Linked DNA regions of Pelodiscus sinensis. The protein of the gene in region 2 purifies or fractionates together with the protein of the main gene of each other region. This does not show direct contact. Links are inferred from orthologs where the notes say so. Each region holds a gene or a part of one and is shown on either strand. Other genes may lie near its edges. The genes, in order: AP2S1, EPS15L1 and ITSN2.

Region 1 (7,274 bases), on a different chromosome or scaffold from region 2:
GCATGCACTCCTGAAAACTGTGTTTGTGCGGCCGCACAGAAGAAAGTCAGGTGCTGTCCACCTGATTAGCAGAGTGCCCACAGCTCGGTTTTGTGTTTATATCGGTGATGCACATTTTCACATGCCCCAGTGCACATCACACAATTTATTCCACACATGGATGGAAAAAACTCACACGTGGATGGAAAAGATTTAGGGAACACTGACTCCTTCACAAGCTCAGCATCCTGGAAAACACTTTTCTTTTTAGTTAGTACCATCATTATCTGAAGTAAAGCAGTTCTTGTTTTCTTCTGTCCAGTCACTGATGTTATGAGAACGACATCTGAAGAGTGACGCAAAGACTTCAGTTGAAATTACTGTGCTTGGATTTAAAATGGTACCTCACAGTGATGACCTTAGACTGCGGTACTGGCTTGGCATACTAAAACCAAAAACTTTGCATTTCAACGAGATGGCGTAATAAAAAGAAAATCCGCTGTTAGTGTTAAAAGCTCAGTTTTCACTGTTGACTTCATGATGGTTGCTCCCATTTGCAATCATTTTTTGCTCCATTTCCATCAGTAATGAAAAAAATAGGCAGGGTCAATGTTCTCACAAGAATTTCAGATTCAGTATGTTACTTACTAAGGAAATGACAGGCAAATGATAGGCAGCATAACGCTGTTCTCAAATTTAATTATAAATATGTTTTTAAGATGAGCTGATGGGCCACATTTGATCTGCATGCGGCCTATTAAGTATCTCTGGCTTAGGATGTTTCAACCAGTCCAGGCGTCAGGAGATGAACTGAATTTGCAGAGAAATGGAGTGGAGACTCATAGACTACTAGAACTGGAAGGAACCTTAAGAGGTAATCAGGTGCACTCGCAGAAGGATTTAGATCATCCCTGACAAGTGCCTGTCCAACCTGCTCTTAAAAATCTACAAAGATGGAGATTCCACAACCTCTCTAGGCAATTTATTCCAGTGACAGTTAAGAGAGTTTTTCCTAACGTCCAGCATAAACCTCTCCTCCAGCAATTTAAGCCCATTGCTTCTTGTCCTATCATCAGAGGTTGAAGAGAATAATGTTTCTCCCTTCTCTTTGTAACAACCTTTTAAGTACTTGAAAACTGCGATCCCCTCTCAGTCTTCTCTTTTCCAAACTAAACATATTCTTTCAGTCTTCCCTCATAGGTCATGTTTTCTAAACCTTTCATCATTTTTATTGATCTTCTCAGGGCCTTCTCCAATTTGGCCACATCTTTCCTGAACTGGACACAATACTCCAGCTGAGACCTAATCAGCACAGAGTAGAGAGGAATTACTTCTCATATCTTGCTTCCAACACTCCTGTTAATACATCCTAGAATTTTTTTTTTTTTTTTGCAAGTGTCACATTGTTGACTCATATTTAGCTTGTGGTACACTATGAACCCTAGATCCCTTTCTGCAATACTCCTCCCTAGGCAGTCACTTCCCATTTTGTATGTGTGCAACTGATTGTTCCTTAAGTGGAGTATATTGCATTTGTCTTTATTGAATTAAATAGTGTTTTTCCATCTCTAACTTTTGCAGTTCAATTATACACATACAAAGTTCAGTTCTCAGTCTCCAGTGCGGAGCCTATACAGGCTGGCGGGTTTTTTGTGACCATCCGATCATGATGGCAACAGCTTTGGCTCACTCAGCCCATAATAAATTGGAACCACTCGGCTAGGCACAGAAGTGACTGCATGTTATTATGGATCCCCTGTTCCATCAGACTAGGTCAGACAGGGCCACTCAAGGGGAGTTTGTCTTAGTTCGATGGTAATATCAGCCCAAATCTGAGAGCATCTAAGATGTCCCCATTTGCCACAAAGCTACACCGCATGGCCCCCCGGAATTCATAAAGACGACTGGGACTAGGACTCCGAGCCTCCTAATCTTGCTCCTTAAAGAGGAGGAAAATTTCTGTGATCAGCTGGTCATAGGTGAGGGATACATGAATAAACAGCTACTGCATCCCTCACCAGAGATAGCCGCAACAAAATACAGGACTATGTAGCACTTTAAAGACTAACAAGCCGCAGAGCCTGAACAACACCTGTGCACAGCCCTCACAGTTATAAGAGCTTGGTCAGAATTACAGCTCTGCAAAAACAGGCCCAGTACCAGCCTTCTTCTTTTGCCTACCTCCAGTCCCTTCGCCTGCCAAATATCATACCCCCAAAGGGTCTCCCTCCTCAGGCACCGGAGCTGCTCCCTACTTCCCCGGGAGTGGGGGAGGATATACCCCAACAGCGTGCCCCCTCCCAGGATAGGGAGACTCACTCCCATTCCTCCCCTACAGGAGCCTTTCTCCACCCTCAGGGATAGAACCATCCAGCCCAGCGCCCCACACGCCTGGCAGGGACAAAGTCTTATTTAGACCTCAGAACTGGGGAGCCTGACCCAAATCATCCCCTGGAGGGCACCAACACTCCCCTTTCCCCAGGGATGATGGTCCACATCCCATCCAGGGGTTCCCCTCCCCCTGGGGCCAGGGACTCAGACCCACATCCCCTCCCCCCCAGGGTCTCCCAGTGGCGGCCCTCCCCCCAGGGCCAGGGACTCAGACCCACATCCCCTCCCCCCCAGGGTCTCCCAGTGGCACCCCTCCCCCCAGGGCCAGGGACTCAGACCCACATCCCCTCCCCCCCAGGGTCTCCCAGTGGCGCCCCTCCCCCCAGGGCCAGGGACTCAGACCCACATCCCCTCCCCCCCAGGGTCTCCCAGTGGCGCCCCTCCCCCCAGGGCCAGGGACACAGACCCACATCCCCTCCCCCCCAGGGTCTCCCAGTGGCACCCCTCCCCCTAGGGCCAGGGACACAGACCCACATCCCCTCCCCCCCAGGGTCTCCCAGTGGCACCCCTCCCCCCAGGGCCAGGGACTCAGACCCACATCCCTCCCCCCCCCCTTACCATGATAGTTCCGTCCCTGCCAGACCCCCCCAGGCCGTCTTCTTCCCCCTCCGCTTCTTCCCCCTTGCCCCCTCCCACCGGATATCCGTCGCCTGGCCTCCTGGGAGCTGTAGTTCCGGGCTGCCTAGGCGGAGCGGCCCTTCCCGGCAGGCCGCGCGGCCGCAGCGGTGCACGCTGGGCGTTGTAGTGTCTCCCGCCCAGGGCGGGGCGGGGTCGTTGCTCGCCGTCCCCGCCAGGGGGCGCCCGGGCTCCGCGGTGCCTCGGGCGGGGGGCGGGCTGGAGCCGGGCCCTCGCCTGGCGTGGCCAGCGGGCAGCCTGCGCGCGGGGCCGGCAGAGCGGCCGACCCGAGCCCGCGGCTGGGCGAGGCCTAGTAGGCCCGAGCCTGCCCCACAGCCCCGCCCCCCACAGCAGGCCCCCATGTGGGTCTGAGTCCCTGAACCTGGGGGGAGGGGCACCCCTGGATGGGATGTTGGCCCTGCCCCCCCCCCACACCTGGTCCTCCCCCCCCCCCGCAGCAGTGGGGGGGGGGCAGCTAATAGCCCGATTCGCCCCCACTGCGGGCTGGGGGGGGCTGAGCCTGGCCCCCTCCCTGGCAGCCCCGGGCCTGCTCCTTCCGCACCCTGAACCTGGGGGGAGGGAAGGGGGCGAGCCCCCCCCAACAGCCGGCTCTGGGCTGCGGCCACCCCCAAACCGGGAGCGTCCGCTCCAGTGAGCTATCAAGGCCCTGCCCCGGCTCCCTGCATGGCCCCCGGCAAGTCGCCTCGTCTCTCCTGGCCTCCATTTGTCGCCTGTACAATGGGGATAAATTCACGGGCAGGCTCGCAGAGACGGGAGGAGGGACCCGGTAAAGAGCTGAGATTAAACGTGTGGTTTCGGCTCACAGGGACTGGACCCTGGGCAGATTAAAGTGACACGCAAGCTCCTTCGAGCAAGGACTTCGTCTTTTGGAGGCTTGTGGAGTATCCGTTAGTGCTACTGTTTTATAGTGTAATCACACTGAGGATCGAACTCTGGACTTCCTGCTCCAAAATCCCAGGCCTATGCCATCTGAGCAAAAGGAGACTCTTCATGAGCGATCAGTAGTATAAGGGCCTTGTGGCACACAGTTGAGCATTCCCCATTGCACCCAGTGGATGGCAGTGTTGTTACCCTGCCCCTGGGACTAGCTTGTAATGCAGCAGCAGGGAGTGCTGGCCTGGGGAGAAAGAACAGCCAATGAGGGCAGCTGGAGCTGGGGAGTGACTTTGAAAGCCACCCAAAGGGGCCAATTGGAAAAAAAAAGCTGCTAGAGGTGGAGGGAAACTGGACTAGAAGACCTCTGGAGGTCCCTTCCACTCCTACGATTCTATAAGAACCTAGATGCTGAGTTACTAGATGAACTGGAGTCTGGGTAGGAGGCGAGGTGATAAAAGAACAGGAACATGAAAGTAGAAGACTGGGAAATGAAAAGGAGGAAAGCAGGAAACTAGGAAAGGATTCAGGTCAAGAGAAGCAGAAATCGCCCCTCCCTCCCCCAAACCTGGGTATATGAGCAGACTCTGCTAGAGAAGGTAAGTAGAGGGAAATAAAATCTATAGTTGTACTAGAGAAAGAGTATGGGGGGAGGGCAGAAAATGAAATATAATTGGTGAAAAAGGGACTTGATCAAAGAGCTGTGTTAGATGAAAACAGATCCTGAAAACAGTAAACGAGACGCCTCCTTACAAAGGATGAACAGAGAGAATGACTAGTGGGCAACTATTGAAGGAATAGTGTTCACAGTGAGGGCCCACTAAGTGAAGAAAACCTGTTTGTGGATAAACTCAGTAAAAAGGTACAGCCACAAGAATATTGACTGAAAAGGGTACTTCAGGCCAAAAATAGCCAACAGCAGGACAGCAAGAGTGGAGCTGGACTTACAGCCCAGACAGGAAAAATAGATTTTTTTTCTGAAATGACGCAGTATATTGTTACGTAATTCCTCTTGTTCTTGTTAATAGCAATGCATTTGATATTGGCGGCAAGAAGTAAGGGAAAGTTGCATGTACAAACTTGCAAAAGTTCATGTATTGGTATCTATAGTTTATTATTGTAAGTAGTAAGCACTTGGTAATAGTCTATATTATTTATGCTCTTAGTACAGTATTTGGGTATTCCCTTAACAAAAGAGTTAAACACGCCCTTTTTGTATTTATGTGCCTCTTTCTCTCCTGTTAGAAAGTAGAGCCTCAGGTCTCTGGCCCATCAGTCCCTGGGTGGGTGGCTGTCTGGTCCCTGGGAGAGTCTATTCCAGTACCCCAACATAGCCTGGTAGAGATCCCATCCTCTGCTTTGCCTTTGCCATCAGCCTCTTGGCTGCCTTGATTGCTGGCTCTTCCCTTCCTCCCCGTTTCTTTGAGAGGCCTGAGGGCTGCCATGTGCTCAGCTTCTCCTTTGGCACCGACTACAGCCCAGAAGGCACAGCTCTGGCCTTCCCGGCAGGCGAGGCAGCCATGCTGGCTGGAGCCTAGGCAGTTTGGGGAAGGCCATGCCTTCCTAGCCTGCGTTACCCGCCACCCTGGGGCACAGCCAGCGGCTCCTTTTCTAGCGGAGCATGCCCCTGTTCAGTGTCCGTGAGAACTCAGCCCGTACAGGAGACCGGCTTTGCATCAGTGAGCAGTGAGGTCTTCCCCGAGCCATCCTGCAGAGATGCCAGAACAGTCAGGGGCCACAGCTCCATCTCCCTCTCACTTTTAACCAGCCCTAAGGGTGATCGACGGGGCCCAGAAGAGCTAGTGAGAGGCAGGGTTTTGGGGGGCAAGGGTGGAGCCACAGGGGAAGAGACAATGCAAGGGCAAGGACTTGGGTCATGAGTGGCATGGGGGCTCGGAGGAAAGAGGCAACACAGGAGGGAGGTCTTGGGGGGGGGAAGAGGCAGCTCAGGGGTGGGACCTCTGGGGAAAAGGGAGTGCGGGGACAGGGCCAGTGCCCCCCATGCTTTTAGGGAGCTTCCACGGCTACTGTACCCCCCATCGCACGTTAGGGCTGGGGCCTTGCTTAGGGTTGTTTTTACTCTTTCAAACACCTGCTCTTGGGTCTGGGATCATCCCCGCACTTCAGCGTTGTGTGTTAACTGTCCCCTGGGCTCCCGAACTTCTGACAGGCGCCACAGAAAAACCCGTCCTTGCAACTCGCTGGCCTGCTTTCTTATTCTGCGTTCTGGTCATGCCCTTAATGCCCCCTCAGTGTCTCAGCATCTGGCCAGCATCCTTCAGAGATCAACCGACGGCCGATGGAGAGAGAGCACTGCGTTCGCTTCGGCTTCACACCAGCGTTCCCACTAAGCTGAGCACTCAGGAGAGATTTAGACGCTGCCCCGCTGATTAGCAGAGCACCCATAGCTGGCAGCATGTGTTTCTACTGGTGGTGCACATCCGCACATGTCTCAGTGCCCATAACAAAATTTATGGATGGAAAAAATTAGAGGGAACGTGGGTTCAGAGTAGTACCCTGCTCCGGGCACCCATTTGGGGGCTTACACAGCTTGCCCTGGAAATCCTGGATTGCCTCTTCCTTGGCATCTTCTCCTACAGTAAGAACGACAAATCTTGATTGCTCGTTGTCCCTGTCGCGCTTGGTTCCCTTTACACGGAAACCCCTTCTGGGTCGGGCTGATGCCCCCAGGTGTCTGTACCTGCCAAAAGGTGGCCAATGCGGCTGCTCTAGCTCAACACACCAGCTGTCACAAAGACTGAGCACTTTGCCTGGCTAGATTGAGCAGTGTGCTCCGTCACGCACAGGCAGCGTCTTCTTCTCCATGCACAGCCTCAGTTTACCTCACTGCTGCCAGGAGAAGCAATGCCTCCTCTTTGCAGGCTGCCTGCTTCAGCAGAGCCTGGGCTAATGGATTCAGTGCTTCCGTAGTCACGTGGACTGCACTACGTTCCGCTTGCCCCTCTCTTTGAGGCATGTCCCGTGAGAATGCCCGACAGAGCCCACAGTCATGTGATCAGAGCACATCCTGCCCTCCAATGCCAGCTCCTATAACTCCCATCTGAGCACAGGGACTGGGATGTGGGTCTCCCATCCCCCACAGGCAGCCTCGGGCACTGGGTTAGAGGCAGCCTCTCTCCGGCCCTTAGTTAAGTATTTATACAAAGTGGGACAACTTCTGGGAAGGGGGAGGGATTTGAACCTGGATTTCCCACAGCCCCAGTGAGTGCTCTGCCCACTGAGATAAAGACTGTGTTTTCCTCTTAGGGCACAGCTACTTGGGTGATGCTGTTCAGGGGGGAATGCCTGGTTTGTGAATCCAGCACAGGCTGAGAGGTGAGTTTGGTGCTGCCTTGCTGGCACTGCAGGGATGTAGGTGGTTGTGCCCTTACGTG
Region 2 (7,443 bases):
CCCTGAACTATGGCACAAAGACACCCAAATGAAAGCTGCTCTCTCCATAGAGAAGCATGTTGCCATTGCTATGTGGAAGCTGGTGACTCACAATTGCTACTGTTCAGTTACAAAGCAGTTTGGAGTGGGGAATTCTACCATTCGGGCAGTGCTTATGCAAGTGTGCAGAGAAATAAATTGCATAGGACTGTGACTCTGGGAAATGTGGATGACATAGTAGCTGGCTTCGCTAATATGGGCTTTCCAAATATGGTGGGACAATCGATGGCACACACATTCCCATTGTAGTGCTACCCCACCATGCTCTAGAGTATGCCAATTATAAGGAGTAGTTCTTCATGGTGTTTCAGATGCCTGTGGATCACCATGGGCTTTTCACAGACATAATGTGGGGTGGTCTGGAAAGGTGCATGATGCGCATCTTCAGGAACTGGGGAAATATGGGGGTGCAGGATTCAGAGCAGTGGGCTGAGTGTGTGTAGAGGTGAGTGAAAGTGGCCAAGGGTGCCATTTCAGGGGGCGGGGGAGCTGCAGCCTCACATACTGGGTTGTGTTGCTTTTCCTGCTTCCTCTGATTAGGGAGTGAAGGAAAGTGCAGAGTCTGCTGCATTCCCTTCACTCCCAGCTGCACAGGAGAGAGGCAGAAGAGGAACACAGCAGGCTCTGCACTTCCCCATACTCTCTAGTCAGAGGAAGCAGGAAAAGCAAAAGGGACCTGGTATGTTCCCTGAAATTGCAGCGAGGTAGGAACCTCAGGGCTGGGGCAGTCCTGGAGGTGGGGGGAAGAGCACCCCCAGTCAACCCTCTAACCTGCCTGGTTTCCTGCTGCTGAGTCCCTCCCACTGCAGACAAGTGTCTCAGCTGGCCAGCCAGCTTCTTATCAGAGCGCTGCACTCAGGCACTTTCTTTCACCTCTGGACACCCTGCTCCTTATGTAGCCAAACTCTGTGCTGCCTTGATTCCAGCAGCACAGTATGAGGAGTGGTTGGGAGAATGTCGTACCAAGGTGGAGGAGAAATGCCATGGAATCTCCATGAGAAAGTTGATAAGTACATCAGGCAAATCTATGGCACCCTCTCCCAACAAGATTCCACTGATATTGGTCTTTGTGCACAGTGATGCTCTGTTTGGACATAACACAGACCCAGGGGCACTTAGCCAGCTCACAGAAAGACAGCTTCCAGAGGGCCGAGGCTCACCATCCGCAGAGGCTGCTTGGGCTGCAGCCCCTGTCCATGGGGAGCTCAGCAGGGAGCTGGGTCCATGACATACAGGGGCAGCTGTTGCCAAGCAGCCCCTGTTCACAGCGGCCTGGGTTCAAGCTGGCTCCTGGAGCCTCGCTGAAGCTCTGCAGTGGCGCTTATCGACTAATTGTGCAGTCAATACAATTTGTATTGAATATACGATTAGCTTGATAACCACAATTTAACATCCTTACCTTGAACCTCAGACCTCCCTGTTTCTTTCCCTCACCCTGTGAGGCTGGAGCGCCAGAGGAGTGATGTATCTCAGCTGGGGATCAGATCAGTGAGGACTGGGGGATTTTGGAGTAGCTTTTTCGTTTCTCATCTGTGTGGTCCCCAACTGATTTTTCTGTGGGTCAGTGGCCCCCAACCCAAAAAAGGTTCCCTGCCCCTCCCATAAATAAAGAAAACATTGAAACTTTTTGGGTGGGACATAAATATTTTACTTTATCTAAAAGGAAGTTTGATAAACGAACATGAGAAAGTTAAAATGCTTAATCAGTTTAATTATTTAAATTAAACCATTCTCCCTAGCTGCAGCACTAGCAAAATGGCTCTGGCATAATTATGTAATTAACTATGAATTTCCATTAGTGGTCTGCAGAAAGGTTTACACTGAGGCAGATGGTTCACAGGCCAAAAAGTTTGAGAACAACTGAAATAGAGGCACCTCCCAACCTTTGCCCCCAGTTTACTGCAATTGCATTAATCCAACTTGCATTGCATTTAGTAGCCTGGGTCCTATGGGTAGGGTTGCCAGGTGTCCGGTATTGTACCAGACAGTCCAGTATTTGCGCGCTCTGCCCAGTAAAAAAAAATCAGAAAATACTGGACATGTGCAATGTCCGGCATTTTCTGATTTTTCTGGCTGCACGCCAGACAGCTCTCCCTTCCACTCCCCCTTTCTCCCGGCCAGCACCGCAGCCCACGACTCCCCTCCCCCCCACCAGCTCTGCTTCCTGCTGGCCCATTCCTCTTCCTGATCTCCCTGGCCAGCACCGCTGCTCCCGCCTTGCCAGCTCTGCTTCCTGCCCCCCCTTACTCCCGGCCAGCACCACCCCATCCCGGCCGGTGCTCCCTCCCCCCGATATCCCACAGCCAGCCCCTTTCTGCCTGACAACACCCCGACAACCAGTCCTGCTTCCCATTGGCCCTCCCCATCTCCCCCGGCCAGCTCTGTTGCGCCCTCCCCCCCCCCCCCCCCGCTAGCTGTTTCCAGGCCCCCTCCTTCCCGGCCAGCACCGCACCCTTCCTGGCCGGTCTTTCTCCCCCCTGCCCCATTAAGTGTTACTGTGGGTTGTTGTTTTTTTTTTTAATGACTACCTGGTAACCCCTAGCAGTGATCCAGGTTTGTGCAGTCTTTTTTTTTTTTTTTTTTTTTTTTGACTCAACAACTTTGATGGTCCCCCCCCCCCTTTTTTTCCTTCAACAAAATTCCCCCCCCCTTTAGGGGGGGGTCAGTATTTTTGTTTCAGCCATCTGGCAACCCTACCTATGGGGTCCAAAACCATCCCTATTGGTAGAGGACAATGGGAGGAATTCTTAGAGGAGTCACATGACACCCTTTACTTCTGGTCATGTGTCCATTTTGACCCTGGAAGTACTACCTACAGGAGTGGGACTTCATGTGGCAGGTAGGTGGGGCATAAGGAATCAGGGGGCATGGCTAATGAGGCCAGGGTGTGTGGCTAACAAGTCCCCATTTTTGGTTCAGAAAATATGGTCATCATACATATCATGCACATACAACATCAGAGGCTCATACAACTGCACATCCTCTAATGCAGTGGTCACCAACCAGTGGATCGGGTTCTACTGGTAGATCTTGGAGCCTCTGACAGGCGATCCTGACTGGTTTGGCTAAGAGGCTATTGAGTACCAGCACTTCAGCTGCATCTCCCTCCTGCTGCTGCGCAACTCCTGCTCTTTGCCTTGGAGCTGCCTCTCCCCAGCCCTGGGAGCCTCCTGCTGTTCAGGGCAGGGGAGGAAGAAGAGGAGCACTGATGTCAAGCACTCTCCCACCCTGTATCCTATATCCACAGAGCAGGGCAGGGGGCATAACAGGACTTGGGATGGAGTTTGCTGGCTGCTTTTGGGAGTGGTAAGCCAGGGCACTGAGCCTGCTTAGGACATGGGCTCTGACTGGGCCCTGATTACCTCAGGTGGCTCCTGAGTGGTGGTAGAATCATAGAACTGGAAGAGACCTCAGAAGGTCGTCAAGTCCTCTCCCTGCTCTAGGCAGGACCAATTCCAACTAAATCAACCCGGCCAGGGCTTTGTCAAGCCGAGACTTAAACACATCTAGGGATGGAGACTCCACTACTTCCCTAGGGAACCCATCCCAGTGTTTCCCCACCCTCCTAGTGAAATAGTTTTTCCTAATATCCAACCTGGACCTCTCCCACCACAACTTGAGACCATTGCTCCTCGTTCTGCATCTGTCACCACTGAGAACAGCCTCTCTCCATCCTCTTTGGAACCCCCCTTCAGGAAGTTGAAGGCTGCTCTCAAATCCCCCCTCACTCTTCGCTTCTGCAGACTAAACAGACCCAACTCCCTCAGCCTCTCCTCACAGGTCATGTGCTCCAGCCCCCTAATCATTTTGGCTGCCTCCGCTGGACCCTCTCCAGTGCGTCCACGTCCCTTCTGTAGTGGGGGGTCCCGTAGGGCTGAGCCAGGCTCATAGTTTTTTAAAGCTGTTCCTTTTTAAAAGGTTCAAGATGTGGGGGGGGGGGGGGGGCTGCCAAGAATCCCTCCTGCACCAGAACTCTGGAATTACAGCTCCCTCCTCAGGTCACCTCCACTGAACAGTGACTAACCCCCCTCCACGTGCCCAGTGGGATGAAACGTGGACGTGGCCGACTCACCCCGCGCCCAACCGCCTCGCGGAGCCTGCGTGTCAGTGTCGCGCTGGACACGCGTGGGACTCGGCGGTAGGTGAGCGCGCCCGGAGCCGGGAAATCGGGCGCCTGCCTGTCGCCTCAAGGGCGGGGCGCGGGGAGCGAGCCGCGCTCTGCGGCCTCGGCATCCGGACCGGGCTGCGCCGAGCCCTGAGCGTGCCCCGCCGCGTCTGGCGCCTCCTCGCGCCCGTCGGCGGCGATCGCTCCGCCCCCGGTGCCCGCCCTGCCGGAGTCACTCGGTGGGAGCAAGATGGCGGCGCTCATTCCCCACAGCCAGCAGGTAACCGGCCCGGCCCGGCGGCCTCCCAGTGCAGCCGGCAGCTGGAGCGCGCCAGGGGACGGGGCTCCGGGCCCATCCCCTTGTGGCGGGGGGGAGCTGGGCCCCATCCGGCGCGGGCGGGTCAGCTCGGAGGGGGCAGGCCCTCAGCGCCCTCCCCGCCGCAGCCGGGCCAGGGTTGAGGCTGTGGGGTGGGAGCCGGCCTGCGCCGCCCGCGGGGGTTGGGGGCTGAGCCCCGCGGGGGCGGCTCGGACGCTGGCTTCCTGGCTGGCACGAAGCGCTGTAATGTCCCTCGAGGCAGGCAGGCTGCAGGGCCCGACGTTGAGCCACTGGCGCGCAGGGCGCTGTGGTCGCGGGAGGCCCTGGGCCGGGCCTCGGGAGACCCGGACTGAGTGCTCAGGGGGGCTCTAGGCTCCTTGTCTAACCGTCACTTCAGCTGGTTCATTTCTCCAGGCCGGGGTCTCCCCATCTCATGCTGCCTAATGGGCAGGGACCAGTCCACCACCTAACGAGCACAACGGCTTCATGCTGCGGGAGGGGCTGGGGCCTCTTGGCAGAAGGGGTAGATGCAAATACACTACAGACACGTAGTGGGAAGGGCCTCTAGAAGTCATCAAGTCCAGCCCCTGTGCTGTGGCAGGGCCATGTAGTACTCCAGCCCATTCTGAGGTGCCATCCTCCCCTTCCCCCACCTCTGCTAGAGGCAGTGTGGAGAGATAAGGGAGGCTGCAGCAAAACAGCCACTGTCCCCAGTTGTCTCAGCTGGGAGCCAAGCAGTCCCTGTTCTCGGTGGCTCCAGGCTGGCTGGTCACAGGAGCAGCCCCTGCCCATGGCCACGGTGAACAGAAGCTACTCCAGCAGTGGCTCCTGTTCCTGGCAGACAGGGCTGTCCGCCGCGAACAGGGGCTGCTGGACTCTGCGAACTGGGACTGAGCATACCTGCTCATGCTGGTTCAGGACGCTGCACCTTTGCATTTTAAATGTAGTAAGCATCCGGCGGCTCTTATAGCATTTAAAATGCAGAGCTGTTGTGTGAGTGGGTCTCAGAACTGGCACAAGCTTCTGGAGCTATCTGCTGCGGCTTTGCAGAGCGGTCCATATCAATTTGTGTTGACTGCACGATTAGACAGCTAGCCACAATTTAACAACCTTAGCAGGGAGTGAAGTTTATTTTCAATCTTAGAAAGTGCCTGGATGTGGTTTTGGTGGAAGAGTGGGGGTTGTAAGTACAGTAGATCCTCAAGAATTATGAACTGACCAGTCATCCAAAAACCTTATCTGAATCTAGAAGTCCACAATCAGGCATCAGAAGAAACAAACAAAATAAAAGCCCCAGACATAGGAGGGCTAGCAGTATTGCCAGGCCCTGGGGGGGGGGGGGTGTGTGTGGTGTGTGGTGTGTGTGTATTTGTTTGTTTGGGGGGGCAATGGCTTCATTCTCCTGGAGGGGTTAAGGCCTTTTGGTAGAAGGGGTAGATGCAAATACACTACAGAAAAGTAGAGTGGGAAGGACCTCTAGAAGTCATCAAGTCCAGCCCCCTGTGCTGTAGCAGGGCTATGTAGTACTCCAGCTCATTCTAGCCCAGGGGTGGGCAATCCCTTATGAGTGTTTGTCCAATCTTTTTTTTTTTTTTAAACTTCCAATGATAGGATTCCACAAACTCCCACGGAAGGCTATATTAGAACTTATGGAATAATAACTGGAAGGAAACTTGAGAAGTCAAGTCCAGTCCCCTGCAGGACCAACCACTGTCTAGACCACCTGTCTGACATTTGTCTAACCTGTTCTTAGAAATCACCAATGATGAAGATTCCACAACCTTCCTAGGCAGTTTATTCCAGTGTGTAACTGTCCTTGCTACAATTTAAACCCATTGCTTCTTGTCCTCCTTTCAGAGGATTAAGATAATATATTTTTTTTCTCCCTCTTCCTTGTAACAATCTTTTAGGTACTTGAAAGCTTTTAGCACATCCTTTCTCAGTCCTCCTCTCTTTTACAGACTAAACAAACCCAGTTCTTTCAGTCTTCCCTCATAGGTCATGTTTTCTAGACTTTTAATCATTTTTATTGCTCTTCTCCGGACCTTCTCCAGTTTGTCCACGTTTTTCTTGAAATGTGGTACTCGGAACTGGTCACGATACTTGAGTTGAGGCCTTATCAGCAAGGAGTAGAGCAGAATTACGTCTCATCTCTTGCTTACAACACTCCTGCACATCCTAGACTTATGTTTACCTTTTTTTTTTTTTTTTTTTTTTTTTTTTTGCAACAGTGTCACACTGTTCACTCATATTTAGCTTGTGGTCCACCATGATCCCCAGATCTCTTTCCACAGTACTGCTTCCTAGGCAGTCATTTACTGTTTATGTAAATGTAGGCAACTGATTGTTCCTTCCTAAGTGGAATACTTTGTATTTGTCCTTATTGAATTTCATCCTCTTTACCTCAGACTGTTTTTCTAGTTTGTCTAGCTCATCTGAAGAAGTGGGTTTTGCCCACTAAAGCTCATGATACTATATATTAGTTTCTAAAGTGCTACAGGACTACTAGTTTTTTTCTAGACTAACCATGCCAAGTTTTATTTTTAATCTTTCCTCATAGGGTCTGGTTGGCTCAGCCTTTTGTAACTGTTGTTGCTTTCTCCTCTGGACTTGTTACTTTGTCCACCTCTCTTCTAAGGTGTGGTTCCTAGAACTGGATGTAGTACTCCAGCTCATTCTAGCCCAAGGTGGGCAATACAAAAAAACGCAGCCAACAGGGTTAGTCCTTGCAGGCCACTGCCACTATGTTTACCTGTGCCTCAGCAGGTATTGGAGGACGCAGCTCTGGTTGGCCGTGAATCGCCATTCGCAGCCAATGTGAGTGGCAGGAAGCGCCACAGACTGGGACACCACTTCCCCGCATTCGTGTTGCCTGCAAATGGTGATTTCCGGCCAACCAAAGCTGTGAATAGAGAAACAGCAGAACTTCAATTCATTTTCAAATTTAACATGACCAAATTAGTGATATTAAATTGCAGGTAAT
Region 3 (7,568 bases), on a different chromosome or scaffold from region 2:
AGATTTCATAAGAGCTGAATAATATTTGTAAAAGCACTTTTTAGATGAAGTGTTAAGTATTATTAAAAGTAAAATCTACTTTCAAATTTTGCTACCTGTGAGTGGTGTGACACTATCTGCAAATCATATATTTTAAATTTATTATTCACATTATATTAATGCTTAAAAAGCACAACCAGATTCCCTAGATGGTAGCAACATTTAATTTCCTGAGAAAAAATGACAATGTCATAAACAGACAGAAAAAAGGACATCATTTACTAAGGCACTAACCATGGAATTTAGTTTTCATCAGTTCTTAATTTCTTCTAATTATAGGTTTTCACAGGAGCCTAAGAAGTAAGCCAATAATTATAATAATCTTCATTATTCCATTCTCTGAGGTTCCCAGTACAATTCATCTATTCATCCATTACCAATGTTTTATCTTCTTACAGACTGTAAACTCTCAAGGCACAGATATTCTGTATTTTGATTCTTACTTAATTCTGAACCTATTAATCAGTGCTACCATCTTTATTTCTCAACAGATTATAACACATATACACAGATTATAAAATTTGCCATCCACACTTTACTACTGAAACAATGAAACCAACTCTTAGGAGAAGAAAATTAGTTCCCATAGAAACACATCAAAGTGTTCTAGCATCAGTAATTTACTCCTCCATCTTCCAAATCAGAGAGAACATGTGTGGGGGAAATTTGTAAACAATCCTCACTCATTTCTGATAGTGACAGAGATGTAGCCGTGTTAGTCTGGTGTAGCTGAAACAAAATACAGGACTATGTAGCACTTTAAAGACTAACAAGATGGTTTATTAGATGATGAGCTTTCGTGGGCCAGACCCACTTCCTCAGGAAGTGGGTCTGGCCCACGAAAGCTCATCATCTAATAAACCATCTTGTTAGTCTTTAAAGTGCTACATAGTCCTGTATTTTGTCTCACTCATTTCTGGCAGCCTTTAAAATGTAAGTGTAAAACCTATAGAAACTGAACACAGCACTTATCAGCTGTATTGAAAAGGAGCCTTGGGGTAAAATGCAAGATCTTCACAAGAGCTTTGATTGTTAAAAAAAATTACTTTTCATAAAAGAGATAAGTACTTCATTATTTTTAGAGAGGAAGAACTTCTAATGCAAAAGAAATGTCTGTTCAACCTAATAAAAACCACAAACCTGAAACATTTCCCCATCCACTGCCCATTCTGTTGTTAAGGTTCTATTTTCAGTTACTGTGGTTTGAAACTTTTTTGCAGTACCCAGCTGCTCACTGTGATGTGAGCTAAATAAAATGAACAAAATCAAAGATTGTCTCTCTCCTGCTATACTATGCAAGAGGTGCTTACACTGGAGAAGACTAAATCCCAACCCCATTCCCCAGAGAAAACTTCAAAGAAGAGGGGGAAAAATCTCTCAGGTAAGGTTTCCAAGTTGACAAATGAAACAGACTAGAGGTGGAACTGATGGGCTGCATCATGGTCTCATACGGTCACATTCTGCCCTTTAAATCACTCACAAGCAGCCACAAACATTACCTCACTAAACACTTCAAATCCCAGTCATGTGTTCCCCAGGCCATTCCCCTCAGGTTACTGCTCACAAAAGCCCCCAAACTGCTCCCTAGAGTTCCTCCCCAGGACTCTCTCAATCAAGGGCACACCCTTACCTGCTCCTTCCCTGAGAGCTCCCCCACCCCGCCATCAGAGGCACCCCCTATGTTTTCCCCTTAGACTCCCTCTCCCTCCCCAAGGACATATCTCATCTTTTCCCTGCTCCCTTCCTGCACTCCCCCCCAATCAAGGGCACCCCCTAGCAGCGCTCCCCCCAACCAACGCCCCCTCCGCCTGCTCCCTTCCTGGGTTCCTCCCAAGCAAGGGCGCCCCACCTGCTCCCTCCCTGGGTCCCCCCCCCCCAAACAAGGACATGTTACCTCTCCTACCTGTTCCCTCCCTGGGTCCCCCCCCCCAAACAAGGACATGTTACCTCTCCTACCTGCTCCCTCCCTGGGTCCCCCCCCCCCAAACAAGGACATGTTACCTCTCCTACCTGTTCCCTCCCTGGGTCCCCCCCCCCAAACAAGGACATGTTACCTCTCCTACCTGCTCCCTCCCTGGGTCCCCCCCCCCAAACAAGGACATGTTACCTCTCCTACCTGCTCCCTCCCTGGGTCCCCCCCCCAAACAAGGACATGTTACCTCTCCTACCTGTTCCCTCCCTGGGTCCCCCCCCCCAAACAAGGACATGTTACCTCTCCTACCTGTTCCCTCCCTGGGTCCCCCCCCCAAACAAGGACATGTTACCTCTCCTACCTGCTCCCTCCCTGGGTTCCCCCCCCAAACAAGGACATGTTACCTCTCCTACCTGCTCCCTCCCTGGGTCCCCCCCCAAACAAGGACATGTTACCTCTCCTACCTGCTCCCTCCCTGGGTCCCCCCCCAAACAAGGACATGTTACCTCTCCTACCTGCTCCCACACTGGGCCGCCTAACCCAACCCACAGCAACCCCTATCGGCTCCCTCTTCGTGGCCCCCGAACGAACCCCCCCAAATCCTCTCTCCCTGCAAGCCCCCCCAAATCCTCTCTCCCCAGACCCCCAACACACTCACGACCCGGTGCCCCCGGACCTTGCTTCCTCGGCCCCCCAGCAAGAGCGCCCCATTCCCACCCTCCGCACAGACCCCGCCGTCCCCCCGCGGGGGCCGAGGCCGCTCACCCAGCCGGCTCTGCTCCCTCGGCCCCTTACGGCTCAGGCCGCAGCCGGGCAGCGCGGTACCTGTTGCTCTGCTCGGCGCTCGCTCGCTCGCTCCCTCTGCCTCCTGCGGCGGCTTCAGCCCGACAACATGGCGGCGGAGGCGGGGGCCTGGCCCGCAGGAAGAAGGCGAGCTGCGGCAGGAGGGGGAGGGAGCAGGAGCTGCCCGCGGACACGGGCCAGCAGCGGGGCTCCTGGGTGTGCGACCGGGGCCCTAGGGATGAGCCCAGAGGGGGCCCAGGGACTAAGTGAGAGCAGCCCCTCTGGGCTCGGGGCCAGCCCTGATTCAGGCCGACAGCAGCTGGGTGTGGGACCAAGGCATAGAAGGGCCTAACAGCACCCCAGGGTGTATGTCCCAGGCTCAAGATATGGGCAGGTGTGGGACCAAGGCCTGAGATATGGGCTTACAGGGCCCTGGGTGCCAAGCCAAGGTACGTACCCCAGGAACTTGGTGCCAGTTGGCAGACGGCACAGGACGGGGGCGTAGAGTTTCACGAGGATCTCTCAGGTAGGAAATATGCATCATAATTAAGGCTAAGATTTTGTCACATCAGCCCTCAGGAATGGGTTGTACGGCCCAGGCTATAGCGCAGCCTCCCAAAAAAAGCTGTAGGTTGTGGTGCGTTGCAACCATAGAGGGTGCTCTACCTCTGCTCTGGAGCTGGGCACAGCTGCAGGACAAGGATGCATGGGCACAGCTGCAGCCAAGGGTGGGGTACAGCCATGGGACGCACGAGGGGGACATGCGGCCCACAATGCAGTCCCCAACAAAAGACATGGGTTGGGTCACAGCAGGGGTAGAGGGAGCACAGCCACAGGGGTTGCACAGCTCCCACTCCAGAGCTGGCAGCAGCTGCGGGAGAGGAGAGCCCAGTTTGGCTGCAGTCCCCAGCAAACTACAGGGCAGGGGCTCCAGGATCCTGGTTCCAGCCATCCATCTAATTGCAACAGGGTAGGGGCATACAGTCCCCACCTCTAGGCCTGACTTCATTTGCTGACAGCTGGAGCAGAAGTCAGGGAGGTCCAGTAAAGTCACAGAATCTTTGAATACTGTGACTAAATTGTAGCCTTAATAATTCACCAAATGGTGACATGGGAGATCCCTACCAACAGTCACTGTTGCATGTAAAGGTAATATTTCAGGAATTATATATCTAAACTGAAAAATATGTTCTTAAAGGAGTTAAGTAAGACATGTCACTAGGGATATACCTGGGACATATTTCTTTCAGACAGCCAAGTAGCAGAGGGCTGTCGTCTCTGGTCACGTGTGTATTGTGCACTGTATATCTTGCAAAGGATGTCTGTTTGCACAGCAAGCCAGATACCTGATGTAAGATTGCAAAATCTACAAGAGAGAATATCTATAAGGAAATAAATCCACAGGGGTGTGCCCTGTTCATGACTAAAACCAAAACATCAGGATGGTATATTAGGTAATACGGGGAGATACATAATATCTTCCACCAAAGAGGCAAGCCAATAGCATGACTTGTCTCCTAAAGGAAAAATCACAGTCAAGCCTGGCTTTATAATGCTAGGAGGAATTCGGATGAATATTGTTGTAAAACAGCTTAAAGCGTCTAGATAAATAAGTTTATGTTCTGGAATGTGTATTATGATTTTATTTTATATGAAGCCATCTACTTCCAATATGTCTCCTTTCTCTCATTAAAATCTCTATGCTTTGTTAAATAAACTTTTTTTTTAAACTATCAACTTATATAATCACAGTGTGCTACATGAAACTGTGATCTAAGGTATATCTGATACACTGATAAACTGTACCGCTCCTGTGGGAGTAGTGAATACTGTGAGTATCCAGTTGAGTAGGGTCTGAATACTCCGTAAAGATGGGGAGGAGGGCGGGGCGGAGAGGAGGAAAGGGAGTTAGAGTGTATCTGTTGTTAACTTGTAAAGAGACAATGGGATGTACCTAGACCAGTGAAGTTGGGGAGCGACTCCAGGAGGCATAAACATGCTAAGGGGAGGCAGTAACTGGGTACTCCCCATAAAGTATCATAGGTTATACAGGCTCACGGTGCCTCTGGGTGGGGTGCCACAGCATAGTGACTAACAAGGCCCTAAGGTGCAGAGCCAAGGCATAAAGGCAAAAAATGCCCCTGAATATAGAACCAATGCCTGAGACTCAGGTTATGTTTACACTGCAGGATTTTTGTGGAAGAGGAAATGCAAATTGAGCACTTATTTGCCTATATCACGCTCTCATTTGCATATCTTCCAGTCCTTTTTGGGGAAAAGGTTTTTGTGATAAAAAGCCCTGTGTAGACGGGGCCATTTGTTGGAAAAAAAAACAACCTTTAGTTCAAGAGTCTGTATACCTCATTTTTTGAGGAATAAGGGCTCAGGAGCACAGTAAGCAGCTGGAAGATGACTAGGGAGGATGCAGCACTTGTTCCGTAGGATACATCTTAGATAGAGGAAGTAGTGGTAGGCAGGCTTAGGGGAGCAGGAGAAAAGCTCCAGACTGATATCTGCCAGGCTGCAGGCCTTGATACAGGGGCCAGGAAGGTGCAAGGGTCATAGGGGAAGTAGCCCAGGGAACAGAAGGCAGTAGAGTGGGAGAGAGGAGAGCAGGACAAGACTGCTGCCAGAGGGTCCCTGATCTGGGACCTAGAGTAGTGGGTGGGCCTGGGGTCCTTACACTGCACCTAGTCACACCGAGAAGTGACCTTTATGGACTGTGGCTTGCCCCTGAGCTGAGGGACTAAAGTGAGACTGTAGTTGGCCATGATGGCAGATGTGAGACTAAGGACTGCTGATAATACCTAGGGGAAAAAGGGGTTGAGAAACCAGTGTGGTGGGCAGTGTCCTATGGTCCTGGGAGTGAAGTGGGTCCAAAGCAGAGCGCAGGGAGAGCATGGAGAGAGACACTGGCCAGAATGGAGTGCCCTGCTGAGGACAGAACTAATTCCCAGTGTGATCTGCAGGAGGTGCCATGGTAGTGAGTCTTGACCTGTTGTTACAGTTATGTTTATAGTAACTAGAGAATTTTGCCTATCCATCCCCCCATGAATCTAACATAGTAGCCTTCTAGGGTTGCCAGTTTGGGTTGGATGTATTCCTGGAGATCTCTCACACATCATAAATCTTAATATGTAAATAAAGATTAATTCCTGAAGACTACAGCCCAATCCTGGTGGGTCTTACTTATTCCTGTACTGCACTACTTTAGGTACACCCCTCACAACATTTTAGACTAATGGCTCTCAACCTTCCCAGACTTTCAGGAGTCTGTTTTGTTTTGCATACTTCAAGTTTCACCTCCCTTACTTGCTTACAAAATTAGGCATAAAAATGCAAAAGTGTTAGTACACTGTTAATGACTTTCCATATAATTAATAAAATAAATTAATAAAATAAACCAACTGGAATATAAATATTATGTGTACATTTCAGTACATAGTATATAGAGAGCTGTATAAACACGTCATTATAGGTATGAAATTTTAGTTTCTACTGACTTTGCTAGTGCTTTTTGTAGCCTGTTGTAAAACTAGGCAAATATCCAGCTGTTAAAGAGATATCTAGAGATATTTGCCTAGTTTTACAACAGTCAGTAGTACATGTACCCTTGGAGGCATGCAGAGCTGATGTACTACTGATTGAGAATGACTGTTCGCAGCTACATGCTGACAATTAAGTATAAATCTGATGTATAAAGGTGTGCAAAATAGTTTGAACAAAACCATAATATATTTTAGGGCTACATTTTTATTTCAATTGCACTGAAAGTTGGTGGCTACATATTTCATGACTGAACTTTAAAGAAGTGTGATTACTGTTACTGAGAAGATCTTATGAAATTCCTCATCAGAATTGTTGTCTTCATAATACTCTCTGAAATAACTCATTATTGAATCAATCCAGGGTGAAATAAGAACCACCTTTGGGGAGAGGAGATGGCCCAGTCCCATAAGAACGGCCGTACTGGGTCAGACCAAAGGTCCTTCTAGCCCAGTATCCTGTCTGCTGACAGTGGCCAGCACCAGGTGCCCCAGAGAGGGTGGACCAAAGACAATGATCAAGCAATTTGTCTCCTGCCATCTCTCTCCAGCCTCTGACAAACAGATGCCAAGGAAACCATTTTATCCCCTGGCTAATAGCCTTTTATGGACCTAACCTCCATGAAATTATCTAGCTTCTCTTTAAACTCTACTATAGTCCTAGCCTTCACAGCCTCCTCTGGCAAGGAGTTCTACAGGTTAACTACACGCTGTGTGAAGAACTTCCTTTTTATTAGTTTTAAACCTGCTACCCATTAATTTCATTTGATGTCCTCTAGTTCTTCTATTTAGGGAACTAATAAATAACTTTTCTTTATCGGCCCTCTCCACACCTCTCATGATTTTATAGACCTCTATCATATCCCCCCTCAGTCTCCTCTTTTCTAAACTGAAAAGTCTCAGTCGTTTTAACCTCTCCTCATATGTGACCCATTTGAAACCCCTAATCATTTTAGTGGCCCTTTTCTGAACCCTTTCCAAGGCCAAAATATTTTTGGCTATCTGAACAGCAGTTACCAGAATTCCATGTGTTTCACACAATATATTTTTTCTATGTTCCCTGACAGCCATTGTTTGACAATGGAGCTGTCTTACAAAAGCTAGTGGTATGATGGGATGAAAGGAGAGGAATCCCAGGAATTTATTAGTTCCCCCCTGGATTCAGAGCCTGAGTAGGAACCTTATAGCATAGGGCAGTGGTCCCCAACGCGGTGCCTGCGGGCGCCATGGCACCAGCCGGGGCATTAATGTGCGCCCACCTAGTGACCATGGCTGGCCCGAGCCATTCT

The links.
Region 1: the proteins of EPS15L1 (region 2) and AP2S1 purify together in Homo sapiens (affinity purification with mass spectrometry; 4 studies listed by BioGRID and IntAct, counting the BioPlex papers as one, with this or other methods). This does not show direct contact. The link is inferred for Pelodiscus sinensis from reciprocal best matches to the Homo sapiens genes EPS15L1 and AP2S1.
Region 3: the proteins of EPS15L1 (region 2) and ITSN2 purify together in Homo sapiens (affinity purification with mass spectrometry; 5 studies listed by BioGRID and IntAct, with this or other methods). This does not show direct contact. The link is inferred for Pelodiscus sinensis from reciprocal best matches to the Homo sapiens genes EPS15L1 and ITSN2.

The regions. Positions count from the first base shown.
Region 1 is NW_027465849.1:5,625,536-5,632,809, reverse strand, and holds the start of AP2S1 (AP-2 complex subunit sigma), read right to left. Parts: upstream 3,046-7,274; 5' UTR 2,932-3,045; coding exon 2,929-2,931; intron 1-2,928. UniProt on the Homo sapiens protein: Component of the adaptor protein complex 2 (AP-2). Adaptor protein complexes function in protein transport via transport vesicles in different membrane traffic pathways.
Region 2 is NC_134729.1:31,113,692-31,121,134, forward strand, and holds the start of EPS15L1 (epidermal growth factor receptor substrate 15-like 1), read left to right. Parts: upstream 1-4,342; 5' UTR 4,343-4,394; coding exon 4,395-4,424; intron 4,425-7,443.
Region 3 is NC_134713.1:14,268,499-14,276,066, reverse strand, and holds the start of ITSN2 (intersectin-2), read right to left. Parts: upstream 3,076-7,568; 5' UTR 2,777-3,075; exon of another isoform or gene 2,717-2,776; intron 295-2,716; exon of another isoform or gene 274-294; intron 1-273.